2 linked regions of the Rattus norvegicus genome follow. The protein of the gene in region 1 interacts with the protein of each later gene in a pairwise test. Links are inferred from orthologs where the notes say so. Each region holds a gene or a part of one and is shown in the gene's direction. Other genes may lie near its edges. The genes, in order: Epas1 and Bmal1.

What was found.
Region 2: the proteins of Epas1 (region 1) and Bmal1 interact in binary tests that used the Homo sapiens proteins (3 or more experiments, as listed by UniProt). The link is inferred for Rattus norvegicus from reciprocal best matches to the Homo sapiens genes EPAS1 and BMAL1.

The regions. Positions count from the first base shown.
Region 1 is NC_086024.1:13,544,505-13,548,316, reverse strand, and holds the end of Epas1 (endothelial PAS domain-containing protein 1), read left to right. Parts: intron 1-420; coding exon 421-547; intron 548-723; coding exon 724-838; intron 839-1,030; coding exon 1,031-1,204; intron 1,205-2,703; coding exon of another isoform or gene 2,704-2,860; coding exon 2,861-3,012; 3' UTR 3,013-3,287; downstream 3,288-3,812.
Region 2 is NC_086019.1:176,846,105-176,849,916, forward strand, and holds part of Bmal1 (basic helix-loop-helix ARNT-like protein 1), read left to right. Parts: intron 1-2,129; coding exon 2,130-2,279; intron 2,280-3,812. UniProt on the Homo sapiens protein: Transcriptional activator which forms a core component of the circadian clock.

The DNA.
Region 1 (3,812 bases):
TCTACCTGGCCAGGCTCCTGCCCAGAGCCTCTGGGGATGTGCACAGGCACCTGCATCTCCTGTCTTCCCAGTAAGGGACAATCCCGGAAGCTGGTGTGTCTTGTCTGTAGCACGTACCCTTTGTAGAGCACCCCAGAGGGGCCTCTGCATGGGAGGCATAGATCCTTGTAGAGACTGCTGTCATCTAGCTGGGCAGGACCAGGGTGTCCAGGAGTGTGGAGAAAGGTACAGGTGACTGAACTCTTGAGCATCTTACAGAAGGAAAAGCCGGACTGCGGCTGCTCAACCCTTTGGCACTCTGCCCTCTGGGCCCATGACTTGTCGACCTGTCGTAGTCAGAAATATTGGATCCTGGGAAGACAGCAGGCAGCGGGAGGCTCTAGACTCCTCACACCCCCTCTCCTCTCTTGGCCTTGGCAGGTCTGCAAAGGACTTTGGGGCTCGAGGCCCATACATGATGAGCCCGGCCATGATAGCCCTGTCCAACAAGCTGAAGCTAAAGCGCCAGCTGGACTACGAGGAGCCAGCCTTCCAAGACACAAGTGGGGTAAGCCATGCCTTGTGAATGAACACCCGGGCATCGAAGCCTGAGGGCACGAGATGAGGCTAGGGCAGAGATGCAGGCCGCTCTGGTGCTGAGCACTGCCTGTGCCCGCTGGGTCTGCGAGGTACTCCACTCCACACGCGGGGCTCACTTTCCCCAACATCATGTCACATCTGCAGGGGGACCCTCCAGGCACCAGCAGTTCACACTTGATGTGGAAACGAATGAAGAGCCTCATGGGCGGGACCTGTCCTTTGATGCCTGACAAGACCGTCAGTGCAAGCATGGCTCCTGGTAAGCAGGCCTGGCCCAAGGGTCTGATGGAGGGTCGAGGACCCCTTCCCTGAGCCTTGTCAGAATAGATTATATCCAGGCCATGAGCAGGCTCCAGGTTCTGAGACCTTTACATGAAAAAGAAAGCAGGCTGAGAGCTACTGTCTGTCCTAACAACAGCCCCAGATTCACTCTCTGGCTTGGATCCTCCAGATGAATTCACCCAAAAATCCATGAGAGGCCTGGGCCAGCCACTGAGACACCTGCCACCTTCCCAGCCACCATCTACCAGGAGTCCAGGAGAGAACGCCAAGAGTGGGTTCCCACCACAGTGCTATGCCTCCCCGTTCCAGGACTACAGTCCTCCAGGAGCTCAAAAGGGGTCAGGTGAGTGCTTTGGAGCTCACACCATACCCAGGGTCTGATGCGCTGACTGACCAGGGAGCTGGGAGGCAGCCACTCTCGAAGCAGCTCAGCACTTGGATGAAGGACTGCCGGCCTTCAGAGCCTCCGCTTAGGTCTGAGGCAACTGGTTACAGTTCCTAGGGCTCTTCATCCAGTGAATGAGGGTGCTTCAGCCAGGACCAAGTCTCTTCTTTATCCCAGAGCCTGCGTGGTACCAGGCCCAAGACACATCTGACAATGACTTAGTCAAAGAATCCCTGGAAGGGTACAGGCCCCTCACTGAGAACCTGACATGAGAGAGAGGGGGAGGCAGGAGGGAGAGGGAGAGAGAGAGATAGGGCAGAGTACAGTTACTCCTGGCCAAGCAGGCTCCCCTGGGGCATGTCTACAGCCCCAACACCACCACAGGCTGGGGAGGCCTTGGGAGAAGGAAATGACTAGTGTGGCAAAGGGCTGTGAGGGACTTCAGATCAAGACAAACTTGCTGCTCTGGGAAGGTGTTCTGGAAGGCTCGAGAAGGAATCTTCCAGTGGTCTGTCAGGTCAGGTCTAGGCTCTCGACACCACAAGACTAAGAGGCCATGCCTTTTCCTCAGCTCCTCGTTGTCTGAAGTGTACACACACACCAGCTTTCTCTGAGAGCTAGCACAGGGGATTCACTGATGGGAGGGAACCCTGGTGACACAGAGGGCTCAGCTGTTGCCACTGAAGCACACACGTGTTCCCACAGATGCCTCTGCTCCTCATAGACAATTTATGGTTTGAGGAAGAAAATCCCAGAGCCTTGTCTAGAGTAGTAGAGTTGGGGGAAATTTATAGTGCTGTTCTTGGAATTCTGTCCGTGGAACCGCAAAGTCCCACCCCCACACCCCACCCCCCACCTCCCCACCCCCCACTCCCCACTCCCCCCACCTCCCCATCCCCCATCCCCCACTCCCCCCACCTCCCCATCCCCCATCCCCCACTCCCCCCACCTCCCCACCCCCCATCCCCCACTCCCCCCACCTCCCCACCCCCCATCCCCCACTCCCCCCACCTCCCCATCCCCATCCCCCAGTCCCCCCCACCTCCCCACCCCTGCTTGATATTCCAGTCCTACTGTTTACCAGCAGGTGGGCTGGCGAGTCAGAAGACTTAAAGAGAAACTTTAAAGTTTAAAGAGAGAACCACACATCACTCTCCCTGGTGTACACATCTGGTCAGCCGTAGTCAGCAAATGACAGGCTTCCCCAGCTGCTGAAACCGAAACAAAACTAATTTCAACTTAGATCACTTCTGCCCATAGTTTGAAAGCAGGGGTGGACTTAACAAGGGGCGAGTCATATTTATGTAGGAGTGCAGGCAACAGGGGGAAGGGTGGACTCCAGAAGGGAGAGGCCACTAGGACCGAGCTCTGTCTCTAAACTGAGAGAACCCTGCTGTTGATCCAGTCATCCTTGGATCTCAGAACCACTGTGATGCTGATGCGTTCTCTTCTGACAGGGAATGGAGCCCAGGGTGAGAGGGCCGCTGCACCTGAAGTGGCCAGAAGCTGGAGACACAGTTGTTTGTGTGAACGCCCTCCTCCCTGGTCATCCACAGTGGAGTCGGTACCGTGCTGGTTGGTCCCTTACAACACCCTCCTCTCTCCTCCTTTCAGGAGTGGCAAGTCGACTGCTGGGGCCATCGTTCGAGCCTTACCTGCTGCCGGAACTGACCAGATATGACTGTGAGGTGAACGTCCCAGTGCCTGGAAGTTCTACACTCCTGCAGGGGAGAGACCTTCTCAGAGCTCTGGACCAGGCCACCTGAGCCAGGGCCCGTGGCCGGGCATGTCCCTGCCCAGCCATCTCGTCCTGCCAGCTTCACTTCTGTCTGTGTTGCAATTAGGTATCTCTAACACCAGCACACTTCTTACGAGATGTACTGGCCTGGCCTACTGGCCAGGCCACCAAGCCGTGGCCTTCATCTGACATGCTCACTTTACTCTCCATGTTTTAAAAACACATGGCTGTTTTACCTGCTATGTTTTACTGTTGATGAAAGTGTTCTGAAATTTTATAAGATCTCCCCCTCCCTCCCTCGAATTACTTCTAATTTATATTCCCCAAAGGTTTCTCTCTCACATTCAGCATCCATTCTAACACGCATGGTGGCTGTCGTCTCTCCTTAGGGAGGCTTTGGCTTCGTTCAACTAAAGTGTTCTTGTCCTTGTTGCCAAAGAGAAAGGATTTTCTTTCTAAGCTCCGCCGTGGGTTCTCCCTCTTCCTACCCCCCTCTGTCCCACACATATTGTAAAATTTAATGTTTTTAAGGCCAACCTTTGCTCCAGTTTTCATACAACTTATGTAAGCGATGTGAAGGGTCAGCTCTAGGGCTACCTGTGAAGCCACTCGGTGACGCTTACACAGTGGCGCTTACGTGGTGGCGTTCCTAAGCCATTTGTCCCCCATCTCACCCTGGGGTCCAGTGGATACATGTTTTTACTCAAAAGCAACACTGAGTTTTGTTTTGTTTTTTAAAGAAAAAGGAAAATTTATATCTGGGTTTAGTGTTTATCATATATGGGTACTTTATAATATCTAAAAGCTTAGAAATGGAGTCCTGCTCAC
Region 2 (3,812 bases), on another chromosome or scaffold:
TGCTCACTGGGGTTTGTTAACATTATGGACTACCTAAAGAGGAGAGGTTTCAATGGCCAAACTTAGTGCAAGGAGGGGCCACTTTGACTAGGTTCTGTCTGATTTCAGGTTAACTTTTTTCCCAGAATTTATAACTTTCTAATAGCATATTCTTAAGTTGAGAAGGCTCACACTGTCCGGTTCTCCCAGAACAAATCTCTCTGTCTCTATCTGTCTCTCTCTCTCTCTCTCTCTCTCTCTCTCTCTCTCTCTCTCTCTCTCTCTCTCTGTGTCTCTGAGTCACACTTAGCCAGTGTTTCTTGTCCTCTGACCGGGTCCTTTACTTCCTGCAGCCAAGGGTCAGCATTCTCTGGCCCCAGCTCTTGTTCCCCACAGTCATTCCCAGACCAAGACCCAGGAGCTGGCCCAGTGGTTGGCTAGGTGCACATCCTGCCTCCACCATTCACTGGGGGTGTGGCTGTGAGGAAGTTGTTCACCTCTCTGTGCCTCGGTTTCCTCATCTGTAAAACATACATTTTTCATTGGGTAGTTGAAATGTGTAAGAATGTTGACTTTTCCCAGCATGGTGTAAGTGTAGCACTGGTGTTGGATCTGCGTGGGCTCAAAGCATTTGGCATATGGCTTTCTTGTTGCTCAGTTCTCCATGTTGATTGGTGATGGAGATGGTGTCAGAGAACTCCCTCAGGGTACCTCTTAGGAAGTTGCATTTCTCCATAAAAGCAAACATTGGCCCTAATGCCTGTTGCCTTCTGTAGGCTGGCTTCAGCACCTTCCAGTGACTGAAGGAGAAAAAAAATGGATGACATTTTGTCCTTGGGGCTCTTCCCACATGGTCAGGAGACAGTGACTCGGGCAGCACCCTGCAGGATAGTTGCAGCTACAGCAGTAGTGACAGGCATGGGGCAAGAGGACAGGCACCACTGAGTCTGTGTTGGCTGAGGTGTGTTTGAATAGATGAGTTAATGGGTATCAGGAAGGGAAGAGGAAACATCCCGCAGAGATGAACCTGTGTGGTGTCCTAGAGCCTGTTTGCTGCCTTTACAGCAAAATGTGTAGGGAGAAAGATACAGTGAAGGGCACTGAACCAATGTGGGAGGCTTGGGCTGGCATTCTAGAGAAGTTAACAGAGCCAGTTTGGGAGAGGCAGTAGGGAGAGGGTCCCTGGGCAGTGGTCACTGCTTGGCATGGCTGCGGTGCTCCCCCAGTGGTGTCTATACACCCAGCTTCCACAGCCATGAGGGGTGTAAGAGGCATGCGTATCAAAGTCACCCAGGAGCTTTCAGTAGCCTTGCTCTACCTGCAGAAAGTAAATGCCCAGCCCAGCCCAGCCCAGCCCAGCCCAGCCCAGCAGAACAAAATGGTAGCTTGGTATATAGTGCTTGACGGATGTGCCAAAGGCTGAGGGTTCCACCCACAGTGCCATGGTTGAAACCACAAGTCTGAACACAAGCCTGTCTAGTTCAGGGTTTTTGGTAGCCCCAAGATTCAAAAGCAAGATTCAAAAGCTAATTATAACATCACCATCAATCTACAATATTATGTTGATGTAATTGTTACTAAAGATTTCAAGTCCTTTAACATTTCTTTGGTGCTGTCTCTGAAATCCTGCAAATACTTTACTCAACCCTTTTCAGTTCAGAAAAGCCTCATTCCATGTTCAGTGGCAGCCTGAAGCTGGCGGCTATCCTAGGGAGCAAACATCCACAATGGGGTCGACTGATCAGGGCCCCCAAGGGATTTTAACTCCAGTGAAGTTGAAATTTCAAGGCAATCTTGTGTCCCCCACCCCCATTCCAGTATCTCAATCCTGTGAACCCTTTGGGTAGGACCCCAGACCCTTAGCCAGGAAGCAAGTGTCTGCCAGTTGGCACTGATCGTTAAGTTTCCCTGTTATCAGCCTCTCTTGGGATGCCTCATTTCTCTCATTTCCTCTGCTCCTGTTGGGCAGGAACTCTTTGCTGTGTTTCTCTTCTTCCCCTAGACAGCTTACACCACCTGTGCAACTGCACTTCTTACCGTCTGTAATCCATCCGCGTGACCGTGGGCCGGAGAGAACAGGGAGGTCATACTGCCCCTCCTGCGGCAGACAGTCCTGCCCTCCTTTCACCACGTTTTGTGTTGATTTGCAGCTGGACTTCCGGTTAAAACGGATATAACCCCTGGGCCCTCCCGATTGTGCTCTGGAGCTCGGCGCTCTTTCTTCTGTAGGATGAAGTGCAACAGGCCTTCAGTAAAGGTGGAAGATAAGGACTTCGCCTCCACCTGTTCAAAGAAAAAAGGTACAGTTAGCAGCCTTAAGAGAGGCTTACCTGGGGGCTCTTCACGAAGCTCCCCAGAGCGTCTGCTCCCTGGCCTGCAGCCCTGGCTGCCTCTCACCTTACAGCCTTCAGCAACCAGAGCGGGGAATGGGGAGCCCTGGAGCCCTGATGTGTTGCCATGGGGACAGATTTGTGAATAGGCTTTCTGTGTATAAATTCTGTCTATCCTGATGTGACTTGGGAAAAAAACACAGTCAGTCACAGTTCTGTCTCTTGAGTACCGACCCTTCTAGAATCCTCCTGGCCAATTGCCCTAGTGATCTCATGTGTTGACTGACTGACTGTTCACGGTTCTTGCAAAGTTCTCTCCCTGGCCCTTTGGCTTCCCCTTCTCTCTGCCCTGGGGCCACTCTCCTCTGTCCATATTGATGTGTCGATAGGTAATGTTACCCACAGGTCAACAGCTTCTAAGTTTACATTTCTACCTCAGCTTTTCTTTTGAGCTCCAAGTACCTCCTTAGTAAGCCTCAGGGGCGTCTCCAGAGTGGCCACTTGGGCCCTAACACGTACCACCTGCTCATATCACTGAAGGATATTTATTTATATCCAGGTATAACTAGAGATTTTTTAAAAATTATTTATTTTCATTTTAAGTGTTTGTGTGCAATATCTGTGTTTAATGTGCTGCCATTAGATCCCCTAGAACTGACCTCACAGATATGGGTTAGGATACGGGCACCATATAGGTGCTCACAACCAAACCCAGCTCTCCTGCCAGAGCAGCAAGCCCTTGAGTACTGAGTTGTTTCTCCAGTCATGGAAACAGACATTTTAGGACCAAAGCCTAGGCTCCAGCAGCTGCAACAAGCTAGGACAGGCCACGTGTCCCATTAGAGAGACAGGTGAAGATAGCAGAAAGATGTCTTCAATGTGGCCCCTTCCAAAGAGGAAGAGTCTGTCTGTTGGGGAACTGCCCTGTTCTTTAGGATGAAATAGAGGAATAATTGGAGCAAGGGTCAGGCCCCATTAGTTGTAGTCTGGGTGTGGTCTGGCTGAACACAGTCTCAGCTCAGTTTCTAAACATTGGGCCAAATCCATCCTTACTGTGATGTGAAGGCTTGGGACACAATCACTTCCAGGGTGCGGTGTTGCCTGTATGGGTAACCACCTCATTTGGGGTACACTCTTCCCCCTAGGATTCATTCTTCTGAAGTCCAGGGTGATGACAGGTGCAAGGCAATGATTTACCTCTGTGCCTTTGGTCAAAATAAAGGAGTCAGCACAAACTGAAGGCAGAGAATGTATGGGGGGGGGATGTGTAAGAGATAGAGAGAGACAGAGACAGGAAAACCCATGGTGTGTGTGTGTGTGTGTGTGTGTGTGTGTGTGTGTGTGTGTGTGTGTGAGAGAGAGAGAGAGAGAGAGAGTGCACACCATGGAGTGTGTGTGTGTGTGTGTGTGTGTGTGTGTGCGCGTGTGTGTGTGTGTGTGTGTGTGTGTGTGTGCGCGCGTGTGTGTGTGTGTGTGTGAGAGAGAGAGAGTGCACACCATGGA